Linked DNA regions of Nothobranchius furzeri. The protein of the gene in region 1 interacts with the protein of each later gene in a biochemical or structural test. Links are inferred from orthologs where the notes say so. Each region holds a gene or a part of one and is shown on either strand. Other genes may lie near its edges.

Evidence for each region. The genes of interacting proteins can lie anywhere in the genome.
Region 2: the proteins of lrrk1 (region 1) and gpbp1l1 form a complex in vitro, tested with the Homo sapiens proteins (2 studies listed by BioGRID and IntAct, with this or other methods). The link is inferred for Nothobranchius furzeri from reciprocal best matches to the Homo sapiens genes LRRK1 and GPBP1L1.
Region 3: the proteins of lrrk1 (region 1) and outer dense fiber protein 2 form a complex in vitro, tested with the Homo sapiens proteins (2 studies listed by BioGRID and IntAct, with this or other methods). The link is inferred for Nothobranchius furzeri from reciprocal best matches to the Homo sapiens genes LRRK1 and ODF2.
Region 4: the proteins of lrrk1 (region 1) and tcf25 form a complex in vitro, tested with the Homo sapiens proteins (2 studies listed by BioGRID and IntAct, with this or other methods). The link is inferred for Nothobranchius furzeri from reciprocal best matches to the Homo sapiens genes LRRK1 and TCF25.

The regions. Positions count from the first base shown.
Region 1 is NC_091749.1:7,391,616-7,395,115, forward strand, and holds part of lrrk1 (leucine-rich repeat serine/threonine-protein kinase 1), read left to right. Parts: intron 1-655; coding exon 656-757; intron 758-3,500.
Region 2 is NC_091751.1:68,336,091-68,340,348, reverse strand, and holds the start of gpbp1l1 (vasculin-like protein 1), read left to right. Parts: upstream 1-1,458; 5' UTR 1,459-1,687; intron 1,688-3,215; 5' UTR 3,216-3,270; coding exon 3,271-3,330; intron 3,331-4,258. UniProt on the Homo sapiens protein: Possible transcription factor.
Region 3 is NC_091751.1:48,584,992-48,589,017, forward strand, and holds the start of outer dense fiber protein 2, read left to right. Parts: upstream 1-1,226; 5' UTR 1,227-1,307; intron 1,308-1,447; exon of another isoform or gene 1,448-1,466; intron 1,467-1,629; 5' UTR 1,630-1,637; coding exon 1,638-1,759; intron 1,760-1,847; coding exon 1,848-1,959; intron 1,960-2,045; coding exon 2,046-2,177; intron 2,178-2,290; coding exon 2,291-2,365; intron 2,366-2,484; coding exon 2,485-2,556; intron 2,557-2,634; coding exon 2,635-2,751; intron 2,752-2,829; coding exon 2,830-3,015; intron 3,016-3,087; coding exon 3,088-3,197; intron 3,198-3,302; coding exon 3,303-3,437; intron 3,438-3,583; coding exon 3,584-3,695; intron 3,696-3,910; coding exon 3,911-4,015; intron 4,016-4,026. Other genes in the region: ift22 (intraflagellar transport protein 22 homolog), read right to left, coding at 95-177, 857-895. UniProt on the Homo sapiens protein: Seems to be a major component of sperm tail outer dense fibers (ODF).
Region 4 is NC_091749.1:57,592,672-57,596,725, reverse strand, and holds the start of tcf25 (ribosome quality control complex subunit TCF25), read left to right. Parts: upstream 1-1,254; 5' UTR 1,255-1,386; coding exon 1,387-1,605; intron 1,606-3,065; coding exon 3,066-3,212; intron 3,213-3,497; coding exon 3,498-3,560; intron 3,561-3,761; coding exon 3,762-3,883; intron 3,884-4,054. UniProt on the Homo sapiens protein: Component of the ribosome quality control complex (RQC), a ribosome-associated complex that mediates ubiquitination and extraction of incompletely synthesized nascent chains for proteasomal degradation.

The DNA.
Region 1 (3,500 bases):
TTATGTAAGAATTACATCCTGTGGTCACATGTGGGTACTGCAGTTCATTTTTCTAAACACACAAGTCACTTTCTCACAGTTTTATGACTGTTGCTAGCTACGGATCAGCACCAGACCATTCTAGATGATGAGTGAAGAAGAGTCAGACACCATAATCTGATGAGTGGATAAGCACATTTCACTGTAATAACCAGGGTCTGGTAACTGAAAAAGGAGCTTGAGACATTTTTACAGACAACTATTTGCTTCTAGGTTAACTGTTAGCATTGTTAGCTCAATGTTAGCCTCTAGCTTTGATATTGTAGTAAAACAAAAATGCCATGGCTTGTTAGTGGAACAAGAACAAAATTCTGGGTCACTCCTGTTTACTGGCTTTTGGTCTTTATAAAGCAAGGCTGGTGAGTTTCAAACAAACGTCTCAACTTCATGTCCTCTACAAATAGATTTTAATTTGAAAACTTTGTCTTTGGGGGACCCATCTCTTATTTTACCTACTTGTTAAAAAGCTATATTTCTCCAAACTGAAAACCATCAGAAGCTCTGTACAAAGCGAAGCTCATAAATAAACAAATGCCCCTTCAGTAACTTGACTTTATGTTGTTCTGGGTTCAGAGTAAATGAAGTGTTCACTGTTGTTCTGTGTGATGATTGGTAGGCGTGGAGGAGATGTGATGATCATCAATATGCAGTCGCATCAAAACCAGTTGAAGGGGTGTGTCGCCGCTGTCCTCAGTCCACCTGGACTTTCCACTCTGGGGTAAGTTCAGCTGGTTCCCCTTCAGTCGATTCCCTCGGTACAACGAAGGTACTATGGGACATCACGCCCTCGAGTGGCCTGGCTGAAGACACATTTAATCACGCCTGTAAGGCAAATGAAAGTGACGCTACACGGAGGCCCCGCCCTCCACTTATAAGCGACCGCGTCACTGTCATTCCTCAGTCCTTACGCTCTTCACCTCATTGAGAACACATCTGACAGCTAGCTGCGCTATTGAAAGATAGCTTAACCGCTCGCTGACTGGACTCTACTGCCTTCTGGCTAGCATTCCCACCCACTGAGCGCTATCTTTCGTGGCTCTTCAGCTTCTCCTCTTCATTCTGCTGTGTGTCTCGCAATGAGCACCGTGTCGGACGTCGCTTTACGCCCCTGTCTTCAGGGCTGTGGATTCTCTCTTCACGAGAAGGACTTACACAAAGCGTGCCCAGTTTGTCTGGGAATTCTCCACCCCAGGACAGCGCTTGTGGACCTGGAGGCGTGTGAGTTCTGTCTCAGACTCCGCCGTCCCACACTTGAACGGCGCGTGAAGCTCCTACAACGTCTACTGGGAGACGCTGCAGTTTCGCAGCAGGACCCCATGCTTTCCCGTTTGGCCCCGGCTTCGCCCGGCTCTGACGTGGACAGCCTAGTGATCGAAGTACCCGCTACTAGCTGGGCAGATCAGATAGAGATGGCGGACAATTTAACCGGACCAGACCTAGACGCTTCTCAGTTTCCACCTCTGGCAGAGGATGGAGACATTTTGGACATTTGCCGCGACGGTCAGGACTTACTCGAGGACGAGGAGGTCCTCTCAGCGGTGGAGTATTCAGCTCCGGCCGCTACTTCAGCCAAAGAGCTCCGAGATGGCACTTCTTTTCTCCCGTTCTGTCGGCGTACAGCGGGAAGGCTAGAAGTGGACTGTCCCGCTCCTCCACCTGCACAAAAGAGGTCCTGCTTCTCTGGATTTTACCTCCCCTCGGAATCAGCGGAGGTAAAGAACTTTCTGCCACTGTACCCGGATTTTGTGGCTGAGCTCACAGCATGCTGGGCCAAGCCGCTATCAACCCCCAAACTACGGTCCCGGGTTACAGTCAGTTCTCAGACCTCGACAGCGGAGAAATGGCAGGATTGGTTAACCTCCCTCCGATGGAGCCCTCTTTCGCGGCTTACCTGGCTCCGACCTGCAATAATGGAGTTAATGGACAAACTAATCTACCTTCCAAGCCATGCTACTTCTCAGCTGCTTAACTGGAGAAGATTTACTGCGTGCAGGCCTCCACTGCCTGCGTTCTCAGCTCTTCCACCGTGCTCCAGACCTACCAAGCACTTTGCCTGGCGGGCCTTGGAGCTAGGGTCCCACCGACAGCCCACTGACCCCCCTCATCAGTGAGATACGGGTCATGTCGGACTACATCCTGCGAGTGGCCCGAGGCGTCGCCCTGCTGTTGGGAAGAGGTATGGCCTTAACTATAGTGGCTCAGAGACACCTGTGGCTGACCCTTTCTAAAGTCCCCGACAGGGACAGGGCTAACTACCTGGATGAGCCTGTTTCACCCTGTGGTCTGTTTGGTCAGTCCCTCAACGCATTTCAGACGAACTTCGAGGCCCAGCGGAAGCAGACTGAGGTGCTACGCTCCATCATCCCCAGGCGGGAAGGGTGGCGCATGGCATCTGGGTCACCCTTTAGCCGTTCAGTTCATGAAAGGGGTTCGCAGACTGAGACCCATTATTAGATCGTCTCGCTTTGGTGCTGGAGACCCGATGTGGTTCCCCATTTGAGCCTAATGAATCAATTCAATTCAAAGATACTTTATTAATCCCAGAGGGAAATTAGAGTTTCAGTACACACAATTCTGAGGTCAGACATACATACATAGGCATAGACACATGACAAGAATTGGTGACTGTCGTCATTTGCAACCCCGGTCGCTCTACCTTAATAGAGATCAGAGGGGTTTATATATGAGGATTGAGTCAGGTGGAGGAAAAAAATGCACTTCAGAGTTACCCTCCCCGGGGAGGACAGCTTTGCTATGCAAAAAACACCTCAAACAGAAATGCAACAGACTTCAGACATTACACAACATAAGTGTCCACTAGGTGGGGAGGTAGGGTTGGGGATTCTCTACACATCAGTGCATGCAGTCGCAATAAGCAGCGCTCGTCACCTCCGTTTGGAAAGGGGAGGGAGGTAGTTGGGTTTAGAAAGCACAGTGACACCTGGAAACGATTCAACGGCCTTCACTGGTCGCTGTCCCACCCAGGCTGAGATAGGAAGACAGAGTTGCCATGGCGATGGCAGCATTCCACATTTCTTCTGAGGGGGAGTTGTCACTTCAGCCTCACAGGCTCAAGTTCACCAGATTCAGATAAGAACTTGTTTTGGGGCCAGACAGAGATAATTTCCTCTCTGTCTTAAAGTTCTGTTGGTCTCCAACTCCTCTAAATCCAATAATGGCATAATTAATCTGTCCCAATCCATGCTGGACCGTCAACTTTCTCCTTGATCAAATCCACCTTCTGTGCCAGAGTCTGAATCTCAGCCAAAGTTCCAAGCTTACGACTCATCTGGACAATTATATGAGTTTGTGCATTCACAGCACGGTGTAATCCATCCCTGAGCTCCAGGATTAAGCCAGTATTCCTCGACAGCTCATTAATTTTCCGGTAAGCCAGGTAACCATTCAGGCCAAAACCCAAGAAACCTGACACCAACACCACGAATATCCAGACGTCTTCA
Region 2 (4,258 bases), on another chromosome or scaffold:
AAAACAATGTAAGTGAATTCACATAGATTGTTGTGTTTTTTTATGTAGGTGAATGCAAGCCTTCCCTTCCGTTGCTTTATGCTAAAACAGCTGGCTACAACAGGCTTTTTCTGACTTCGCTAACTCTGGAGAATCTAACAACACACACAAGTTTAGGGACAGAAGATCCCGATAAGAATATTAAAATAATAAAAATGCAGCAATAAATAAAACGTAACACTTGTGCTTTGTAACAAAGCAACACCCTGTGGAAGTTAACTTGGTGAACTTATTCACCCTGGACAGGAAATAATTGTACATAAGAAACATAAATAAGAATAAATAACTAAAAAGTTCCAAAACAATAATTTGTGTTCAAAGTTCAAAGGAGTGGAGCCACACAACATGAGTTCATAAAGCTGGCGCCATCTGCTGGATAGGTAGCGCAAAATCGGCCATATCGGCCGTCTTTTTGTCCGATAGCCGATACTGTTGATGACCCCAATATCGGCCGATATATCGGTCGGGCCCTAATTAGAATGCACAGTTAGTATTTGTATATCAAGTAAACGTGTTTTGTTTGTTTTTGTTTTTTGCAGATCCAGTCTTCTCTCGTGCACACATCAGTGAATAGTCAACACGACAAGTGAAACCTTTACTGAAACTTCCTGTGGAGACGTAAAGAACTATTTAAAGGACAGACATTTTACTCATTTTGGATGCATGCTGGTTTTCGATTTGAAATTTTTACCCCAAACCCAACTGCCACCAGAGTTTGTTTTGTTGTTTTTGGGCGAGTGTGGCAGATCCTAAACGAGGTTTCTGAGGGCTTTTTGACCCCTTATGTCTATGAAATCTGAGGTGACTTCTCTCTCTGCTCCGGTTACAAAATTGGCATTTATTAAATGGGAATCTTACAGATGTGATCGTGTAATTTACAAAGACAGAAATGTGGTTATGATGCACCAGACAGGAGCGTGTCCATTTCACTAACCTGAACTGAAAATCACAGCGATGTAACATCGGGCTTTATTTCCTTCCTTGTCATGTGACTTTGAACTTTTTGCTCGTTGTTCTTTTTGAACCCAGACTGTCTCTTCACCAGTTTAATGAGGTGAACTGTGGTTTTAGGTGACCTCTGCTGCCAGTAACAGACTGTCTAAGACTTCATTTTTCTTTTTTTGCATGCATTCAGCTAGATGTTAAAATGATTCGGTGAAAGGTAGAGCAGCTCTGAAGTGTACTGACACACGGTGGCAGGACAGCACCTGCCTCTTCCCGGTTCTGGTGTCAAAGTGGGCCTGTGCACAGTACAAGCAAATGCTTCCAGAACCCTGAAGGAATAAACCTGCCAGCAGAGAACGTTTTCCCGACCGGAGATCGAAGAGCTGCTGCGATCCGGGGTCAGACATTATAACCTGCTGCTTGTAGACCTCTGTGCTTCTACATCAAAGGTCTTCTTTAGTTCTGTGGGTCACCATTCAGATCATTCCAACAACTTTTTTGGACGTAAACCGTTTCACCCTGGACGAAGGCATCCGCCTCTGGAGAGAGGGCCTGCTCTGTCCTGGTGGAGGTGGAGTGGGGGGGTTTCTGTGTGCTGCTCCCCATCTGTTGGTGCACACTTCCTGTGATCTGTGCCAACGGGCCTGAGGAGCTGAGCCAGAGCGGGCGAGGAGGCAGAGGACTTCAGAGCCACAGACTCTGGGTAATTTCACCAACTCACACCCACACGGCTCGACCCCGGCGGTCCTGAAACGAACCGGGTCAACGGCCAACTTTTAAAAACTTAAAAACCATCAACACAAAGAGCTATAAATAATGCATGTATGCTGGAAAAGGTCTGTTCTGTAAAAGCCTTTGATTCTGTGCTTAAAGAGCAAGTCACCCCCTACCAGGGTCTTACTCCCCTCCCACTGCATGCTTGAAAAATGCAACAAACGTTGTTGCCTGGCAGACCGAGAGGGCGGAGCCGCTAACAGATACACATACACACAGGCTCACAACAGCATTGTGACATCATGCCATGCTGTAGTTCTTTTTTAAAACAGAGCAGTTTTGTTTACCTGTTTTCCCGCTACGTTTCGTTTGCGGCGGTTTTGTTTACCTGTTTTCCCGCTACGTTTCGTTTGCGGCGGTTTTGTTTACCTGTTTTCCCGCTACGTTTCGTTTGCGGCGGTTTTGTTTACCTGTTTTCCCGCTACGTTTCGTTAGTGGCGGTTTTGTTTACCTGTTTTCCCGCTACGTTTCGTTTGCGGCGGTTTTGTTTACCTGTTTTCCCGCTACGTTTCGTTTGCGGCGGTTTTGTTTACCTGTTTTCCCGCTACGTTTTGTTAGTGGCGGTTTTGTTTACCTGTTTTCCCGCTACGTTTCGTTAGCGACGGTCTTGTTTACCTGTTTTCCCGCTACGTTTCGTTAGCAGCGGTTTTGTTTACCTGTTTTCCCGCTACGTTTCATTTGCGGCGGTTTTGTTTACCTGTTTTCCCGCTACGTTTCATTTGCGGCGGTTTTGTTTACCTGTTTTCCTGCTACGTTTCGTTTGCGGCGGTTTTGTTTACCTGTTTTCCCGCTACGTTTTGTTAGTGGAGGTTTTGTTTACCTGTTTTCCCGCTACGTTTCGTTAGCGACGGTCTTGTTTACCTGTTTTCCCGCTACGTTTCGTTTGCAGCGGTCTTGTTTACCTGTTTTCCTGCTACGTTTCGTTAGCGGCGGTTTTGTTTACCTGTTTTCCCGCTACGTTTCATTTGCGGCGGTTTTGTTTACCTGTTTTCCCGCTACGTTTCGTTTGCGGCTGCTGTAAACAAAACCGCTCTGTGTTTTAAAAAAGAACTACAGCATGGAATTAGAGACACGACACAGCAAGAACACACCTAAGATGTTCAAAGAAAAATTGTGACATCATATGGTACCAACTAACGTCATAGTGGTACCTCTTAGCCAATAGCGGTGGCAGATTCAAATTCAAATGCAGTGCCTGACAACGGCACAACACCGACAGTTTTATGCAGAATATTTAAATTTGAACTAAGATGCGTTAAAGTGTCAAACTATCGACCGCTCGCGTCCACAGCACAATTAGACACTCGTTTATATAGTTTATCAGCAAAAAAAAAGTTGATTTGGGGGTGAATTGCTCTTTAAGCTTTATGCAGCTTCAGCACCTGGAGCTTGTTTCGTCGTGAAATTGAAATATTTGTAACTCCTGTTAAAACTGTAACATCTGGATTTAATTACAGATCCTGGCCATGAGGTTTGATGCCTCGATCCACTGACCGGAAACACTGGACCTAAATGGCGCAGCATGACTTTGTCCCTGCCTGGCTTAACTTCTCCACACCCCAGCCTGCCAAGGTACCGGGATGCTGCTGTGCTGATAGAACGATTGTAGTTTTTAGTGTGTGTGTGTGTGTGTGTGTGTGTGTGTGTGTGTGTGTGTGTGTGTGTGTGTGTGTGTGTGTGTGTGTGTGTGTGTGTGTGTGTGTGTGTGTGTGTGTGTGTGTGTGTGTGTGTGTGTGTGTGTGTGTGTGTGTGTGTTAGCCTCTCATCCCCCTCAGGAACCGACGTTGCGGTCAGTCTTTAGCCCCATTCCCACCTGTACCGGGTCGGCCCGGGCCGGGTAGCCCCAGTCGGCCCCAGCCTGGCCCGGTTGATTCCACACATCCTTGCCTTAAGCCCATGTGGGCTGATTCTACCCACCAATCAGAGGCTTGCTCTAATGGAAGGTGTGAATTTGCTGTCAGCAGTGGGCGTGTTGGCCCTGGTCGGCCTGAAGCAGTACCCCTCGGGAAGAGGGCCGAGAATGAGCCTTGGTTGGCCCGGGAAAATTCCAGGCCACCCAGATATGTAAACAACCTACGCTACCCGGCCCGGGCCGACCCGGTACAGGTGGGAATGGGGCTTTTGGTTCAGCAGACAGTCATGATGTTTGGTATCTAGCATCTGTCTGACGGTTCGAGTTCAGGTGGTGAACGTTCTCAGACAGCTACTGAGCGATGCTCGCCTCAGTGTTGGGTTATTTTGTGTATTATCATAAAATTTAGTTTTGGTTACCTAGTAGTGGTGTTGCCGTGCAAATTAGATTTGTACATGAACAGTTACGTCACTCAACTGGATTTTCGAACTGGTGAAACTCGGCTTGGTGTGTTTTTATAACTGGAGCAAATAAAAAATATCTTTGAGGGTTTGGGTTGTGTGATGTGGAAAGTGGTGGTTAACATCAGATCAGGTTTGCTGTAAGTGAGATTAAGGTTGGGCGATGGGACGAATGAATGGACCATCG
Region 3 (4,026 bases), on another chromosome or scaffold:
GAGCAAGTAGAAAGTGAATGTGATCATTTTAGTATAATATGTATATGAGGTAATAACATTGAATGAAAGGTAATGAAAGGAAAACAGCCTGTACCTGACTCCTTTAGTAGGTCGGTACTGTCCGCCCACGTTTTCTGTCATGTCTGAGAGAAAATTGGCAAGAACAGTTTTCCCACTCTGAAAAAAGGAATAGATCACTTTAAAGATATGTTTAGTTCTCACATTTTACAATATAAGCATGTTTATGAACTGACCAGTGGTGCTGAAAAGCATCTGAGTTTTATTTGTACTACATGTCCGGTGTGACATGAAAATGGAAATAGCTGAGGTACAATTAAAGTGTGCTCGAGTAACCAAATAAAATGTATTTAGTTGAATTCAAAAACATCCAATCTTTTTGTCTTTTCACAAATTACTTTTTACACATTAAAAACTTTCAAAAGGTCTTTATTCGTAAAATAGCATAGTTTTGATTTCATTAACCTAAGCATTGCGTTTTTCTTTTAAATGCTTCCATACACCGTCATAACAAGGTTATTAGACTGTCATAAATATATGAATTCGATATTAGCTGAAGTGCTACTGAGATAAACATAAAATAGTTTACACTAGAACTGGGGTAAAGGTGCTGGAAGGCTGGTATTATGCATGTTTTAGTTGTTTGCCTGTTTCAACACACCTGATTTCAACGAGTAGGTGATTCTGCAGAGCATGATGAGCTGTTGAACAGATAATTGAATCAGGTGTGTTGAAGCAGGGAATCAACTCAAACGTGTTGGACATCTCGAGGACCGAGATCACTAAAGAAGTTAACAATACATGCTCATCTATATACGTTTTACGTTCATTTACTTACCTCGGTAGGTCCAACAAAGAGTATTTTTACTTTGAACATTTCCGAAGCCGAGCATTAGCTATCACGCTAGCTTTAAGAACCCTAAGAAAATCAACGTTTCAGCGTGAATATAAATTGCTAAGTACGTCTTTAAAGAAACATGTGTGTGGTATTTTAAGTTAAAAGAATAAAAGTATACTAAACTAGCTTATTTACGTTTATGTTCTCCGACTACAAGACTTCCTTGTCGTTTCTATGGTTTCAACCAAGCTCCCCTTCTTTCTTCGTCCATTGGCTGTTTGAAATTAAAATCAAACGTAGTCCCGCCCCTCTTTGCCTCGAGGAGCCAATAAGTGATGGGAAAAACATGTAGCGTCATTACGTTACTTCGAAGATGGCCAATCGCGCTTGAGCGTCCCTGCTGCCTCCCCAGTTGAAGTGGTATTATTTACAACAGAAACAAAGCGAAAGTGTGAGTAATATTAGAATTTTCTAGAATATACGATTTAAAGTTGAAATGTACTAAGTTTAATTACATTAGTCACCACGTGGTTGTTAGTGACTTAGCTTATTCGGCAAATTAACACGCGTTAAACGACGGCTTAGTCAAACCTGTCCGTTGCTATGGAGTACAGCATGTTAGCTTGGGTGTCCGCTGGCTTCCTGGTTCAAGTCAAATTGGCTGTAAAGTGTAATAAAACGATCTTATAAGCATATGAGATAGAATTTCCATCAGGATATTTAGTGATTTAACACTTTGTTTTATTTTGTTTATTATGTTATGTTTTTGTTAGTGGGGGGTATGTCTCCAGAGGATGGTGATCCCCAGAGTTCCCCTTTTCCTGGATTCAGTTCCACCAGTGATGATCTCACTCTGAGGCGTGGTGACCTAGACAACAGTCATGAGCCACAAAAAGGAAACAGGTCACAGAGAAAACACACATGTTTATAAACATGTGCTCTGGAGCTAAAAGGCTTACAACATTTTCTCACATCCCTATTTTTCATTTAGCTTTGAAGAGAAGCACACCTTTCTGAAACTACTGATTGATGCAGAAGCTGCTGCCAACTCTGCAGGAATACAACTTGCTTCATTCAAAAATGCAATAGAAGATGAATTTACTGTATGATTAAGAGCAATTTTTACCTTCTTCTGTTTGGTTTGAGCATTTACCGTGTCTGTAAATAATCACATCTTCTTTCAATTCAGGATTTGGGACCGTCTTCCAAAGACAAGCGTGGAATCACAAGGCAGAGAGGACTTTTGCTGGAGAAGTTGGAGAATTTTAGACGAATAAATAAATCTGTGCGACAGGAGTTAAAACTACACCAAAATGCAGAGGTGGATTTTTAAATGTTGAATTTATGCAAAAAAAAATGACTTAAAATTTTTCTCTAAATATAAATTGTAATAAGTTTGACTTTACCTGCTTTAATAATGAATTCCTTATACAGGTTAATCGAATTACTGAAAAGAAACGGACAGACCTCTTATTAAAGAAGATAACACAAGCTGAAAGTGAAAATGAGGTGAATGTTTTATTATATCATATTCTATGATGGGAGAAGATATAATTAGTCAGGAGTTGAGTCAAACATGGATTGTGATGCTTGAATTATACCTTATTGCTCATGTTTTCTTTCGTGAGCGCTTACAAATCATTCTGAACAAGACTGAGCGGAGGATCGAGGAGCTAATGAATACAAGGAGAGACCAGCAGGTAAGCACATAAAACACTAGGTAATCAATAAAATATTGAAATTAATTTTATTAGAAAGCATTTGTTTTGCTCCCTCAGAAGAACATTAAAAGTGGAGTTCATAAGACCAAGTCGGCAGAAGTGACGCACGCTCGCCTGCAAGGGCAGCTGCGCAACAAGGACGCTGAGAACAGTCGCCTGACTGTCCAATTACGGGTAAGAACCCTTTCATTAAAGCTGACCCTCTGGAAGCTTTATTTAATGTAGAATAACATTATTGTTGTTGTTTTTTAGACTCTGGAGAGAACTCTAACTGAGCAAAAGATGGAGATCAATGAGCTGAAAGCGTCCATTGCCTCTATGACCAGGAAAGCTGCACAAGACAAAGAATCGCTCAAGAAAGCGACGCGGGCACAAAAACTTAGGACGGAGAGGTTTGAAGCTGCGATTGACAAATGTCGTGCACAGCTGAAGGAAAAGGTATGAGTTCAACATCACAAAATATGAGTTGTAAAGACTCGAGTGTGACATTCGATTTTGTTTTAACGTCAGGATGCAGAGTTGGCTGAAGCACATTTACAAAGAGACTCCAAAAGACGGCAGAAAAAGCAGGCGACAGACGAGAAACAAAAACTTCTCGCTCACATAGACGTCCTGAAAAGGTTTGTTGGTTATTTATCAACCCAAATCATGCAAACTAGTCATCAGTATGCAGCTGGGTTGGCTCAGAGTCCCTACTGATGGACTGGATTTGTTCTGTATCAAAGTCAAGTTGCAGACTTGACTTTGAGGTTGCAGAAAAAGAAAGATGAGCTCTCTGCAGCTCATGAGATGAAGATGCAAAAGTCTGAAAAAATCCTCGCTGAAAACGGAGAACTGACTGTTCGAAATGCAGCGCTCAAGGTAGGAGATGTTTCAGAGCACACAAAGGCTGCTACATGCTTTTATATGAAACCACACGCTGCTGCTTAATCATACTGAGGGCTGAACAGATCCTTCTCGTTTTTTATTATCCTACGATTTAAACGTTGGTTTCTTTCTGATTGCGGGCATCCGTGGCTCGGCTGGAGCACCAGCTCACTGATTGTGAGTCGGCACTCGTCGAGGAGAAAATCATCTCCCAAGAGAAGAAACATCAAGCTGAACGGTGCCAGCTTCAGGTTCGTTTCTAGTTTTAGAAAATAATTTAGATAAAAATGCTCTTCAAATTGAATTAATGACATTTTTTCAGATATATTGTCTAAAACTGGGCATTTTCATTCTCAATTAGCTGTTCAATAACAGTTAAAGAGAATCTCTGAATATTTTAGAACATGGAAAGTTTGAAAACTTTAAACTGTTTTTAATCACCGGTCATTTCTTTTTTTTTCTTTAGATTGCTGAACTACAAGCTGAGATCGATGGCCTTAGAATAAAATATGCAAATCTTTTACAAGACACAGAAAAGACACGGGAAGGAAAACATACAGCGGTGGAGAAGGTGGAAGTTTA
Region 4 (4,054 bases), about 50 Mb from region 1:
ATTATTTTCCCCTTTTTGAAATTGTTAAAGAAGCGACATTTGCAACTTCCCCCTTTGGCAAAAACAGTATTTCAGTAACTCAGAATTTCCCTTTCTCCTCTCGGGCCTGTTTTCTTCTCCTTGGCTTTGTTTTCATAAGTTTCCTTTGAGGGAAAAAATGTATGTATTTATATGTCTTCAAGTCAAACAGGTTCAGCAGCTCAATCTCCATTTCTTGAGTCTTAAAGTTATTTGTTTCTGGGTTTTGTAGTCACAGCTGATTAGTCAAGCAATTACAGCCTGTTGGGAAATAACAGGTGCTTCCTTAATCAACCTGGGGTGGTATGAGACCTAGCACTAAAATACAAGAATTGTAAGTAGTTTGCAACACGTATAACATTTTATACAGTCTGAGTTCATTTTCCTGTGTTTTCCCCAACTGTTATTCTAAGCACAAGGAACTAGTCACATACAATATTTTGATGACAGTTGGTGAGCAGGAAGTGTTGTGTAAGACTGTTAAAGTAAAAGTTTGGTGGAACAAAGTAGTTTATAAAGTAGATTTCATTCAGAATAAATCTGTCCACAAACACAAGACAATATGACTTATTTCTTATATCAGTCATTCAAACGTATGCATGTTTTAAAAGCTATTTTATCAGAATGTTTGTAGGCAAACATATCTATACTACATGTTCCAAACACAGTTTTGGTCTTTAACTGAAAGCATGTCCTTATGGTTTTGCCTGTTTTGTAATTGGCATATGTTGTTTTGATGATTTGGCATCACTTCTTTTATTTACATGGTCTTTGTTTATGTGTTATGTTTACATTTTTAGTTTATAATTTGATTGTCTTCAATATTTGACCATAGTTACCTTAAAATGCATGTACTGAACAAGCATTATAGTTTTCATCATGGTGGTGTGCATATTCATATTCATATATGAACATGCACACTATATATATATATATATATATATATATATATATATATATATATATATATATATATAATCTGTTTATTAAAAGGTATTTGTGTTTCTCTGTCTGTCTAAAATAGCAAAATAAAGTATAGAATAGAAAAATGTGGAATATTTCACATTTGTGCACGAGAGTTTTCCCATTTTATTGGTAATATAAAAAACAAAGAAGAATACCCACTAATTACAAAATCGGAGTCAACAGCTGCAGCATACCATTTATTTTGGTACTATTTATTTTAGCCTTCAGGGGGCAGTGTAGAAGGTCTAGGAGGTAATTTTTCAAAAGAAGAAGAAACAACAGTACACGAAGAAGAAAATTCAGACATTTTTTCTATAATCTCATTCAGTGTTGGCTTTCAGTCACCAAAGGTACGATTTTAATCAAACTACTGAATTTAGGGTGAGTTTTAAACAGTTCAGAATGTCAACCCGGGCTCTGCGGAGGCTCAGAGGGAAGCAGCGGGGTCAGGAGGCCTTGGACCTGGGGGATCTGGGAGAGAGCCCGGAGGAGCAGGCTGAAGTCGAAACCGAGGAAGTGCCACACGAGTCGGCTAATGTTTCCACTTCTAACATTAATAACAACAGTCGAAAAGCGAAGAAAAACAAGGTTCAGAAAAACACAAGTAACATCTTTGAGCTGGTAAGATAGTGATATTTCAGAAACTGTCCATAACAGTGACGGGTGCTTTTCTCCTGTTTACATCAGCTCTGTGTAGCTTGTTTACTCAGATGCTAGCTGTAAGTTGTTGGCTGGTTAGCTAACCAAGTGAAAACCACTGACAGCGTTGTCCTACAAGAAACTCCAGAATCAGAGACATTCTAGCTTTTTAAGTTATAAAGTTGTCTCAGAATTAAAGGGGCCATATCATGGAAAATCCACTTTTGGAGCTTTTTACCATGTGGTATTATTTTCTCATAAAAAATATAACAAGAAATAAAATACACACACATTTTTGGCGGCATTCATGCATTTTCCTGATTCAGCTGCAAATTTTGAGTTTTACCTTGAAAATCTTGTTAGATAACCTCGTCATAAGGCCCTGCTCCTCTCCAGGAAGTTTAGTCTCTGGTCTGAAACCTGTCTCCCCCTGGCCAGCACAGGATATGTGTCTAGCTGCTGGTGTCATCTAACAGATTTGGCAGTCCAGTGGTTAGAGTGCTGGGCTGGACGCGTTAACCTCTGCAGTTGTAGGCACATTCTGTCAGAGTGGGTGTTGGCAAAGTTTCACTGAAAGAGGAGTTTTATTTCTGGGTATAAATTCAGTCTGATGGGTGGAAAAAAACCTCGTATTTAAAATAAATGACATCCAATGGTAATTTTTAATCATACGCTGTGCCTACTTTTGCTCTCAGATGTTTAAAATAGCCTCATATGGAACCTTTAAAACCACATTTTTCTAAAATAATTTACCCACTTTTCTTAGGAGCTATTAAGTTAAATGGATGATTACAGTTGTAACACAACACAAAAAACAGTTTACAGACACATTTAATTATACCCAGTGAATTAGAAACAGGAACAACTCTTTATTCACATATTTACACAGTTTGCACAGCTGTTAATTCAACCTTATTTTCCAGTTCTCAGTTAGAAAAAATTACTCTTATTCCCATATTATCACTTTATTGAGCCTGAATTTTCATAATAGTTCCTTCATGTTTTTTCCTCTGACAGACATCATTAGAAAGTTCTGCAGAGGTATAGGGTTAATAACAGAGTATAGGGTTAATAACAGAATGCTTATTTTCAATGACAAAATTCTACACAAGTGGAGCTTTTTCTGAATATTTCCTGATCTGTGTTTTCATTACTGAATGTTATGCTTTTTTAAATTTTGTAGAATAATTTAGTAAAGATAAATTTTATATCTAATGTTCTAAGGCTTATATGAAGTTATATTTCCATTTTATTTACTGTTTTTATTGCATGTCAGTCTTCTTTTTTACATGCTGGTAACATATGCAAAACGTTTTATTTAAAAAGGGAAAATATTATTTTAAGATACAAATCAGAATGAGATAATTTCTATTGTGATGTTACACTTGTTTATTACTTCAGTCACCTCTTTACCCTGTAAACTTTTTTTTTTAATTAACTAGATATGTGACGCTGATGAGGTGGAGAAAATCCCACCTGATGACGAGGCAGAAAAACCAGGAAGAGCAGAAAAAAGCGAGAAAGCAAAGAGTGACAACAACAGAGGAATTGAGAGGCTAGCTCAAAGCCAAGAGGGAGTATCCGCTAAGGTAAAGACGTAACAAAAGGAATGATAAATGGCCCGTTTTGCAATAGCTCCTTCTAGTGTCCTAGGACCCCCCCCCCCCCAGGCACTTTACAACACAATCAGTCATTCACCCATGCATGCACACATTCACACCCTGGTGGTGATGAGCTACAATGTATCCACAGCTGCCCTGGAGCTCACTGACAGAGGCGAGGCTGCGAGCACCTCTGGTCCACCTCCGAATGTCTGCATACCTTATCACCTTCCAGACTGACTAAAACAGTTCTGTCTCGGTTCTCTTTAACAGTCTGGTGACAGAGGTAAAAAGAAGAAGAAAAAGAAGAAAAAAGTGACATCAGAAGATGGAAAAGTACAGTTTTTTATCTCACTCGACAAGACAGCTGCATTATTTTTACTTAGACCTACTCTGTGTTGTTAATATTTGTTACCAATTATTATTGCTGTAATCTATAACACCATCTTACATAAATTAATCAGTATTTTACTAAACCTCATGTTTCTATTGGAGAAAAACAGCAGTAGAATTGTTTTTTTTGTTTGTTTTTTTTAGAGAATTGAACCTGATAATATTGATTTATTGCTGGAGAACCTGGAGCAGTCCAATGGTCTGAGTCTACAAAGTGATGAAAATGGAGGCTGCAACAAAAAATCTGTCATACTCGTGGAACACAGGTAATGGTGTCTTTGAAGCTTCAGTCTTTATGTAAACTTGCTTATAAATATGGCGCGGTATGGGGGCCAAAATTAAGACTACTGCCCAGCAGCAGGAGGCTATATAAATTCCGAAGCAAACTACTGATCTGATAAATGATAAGCTGGCACCGGTGACTGAGAGGCTGGCAC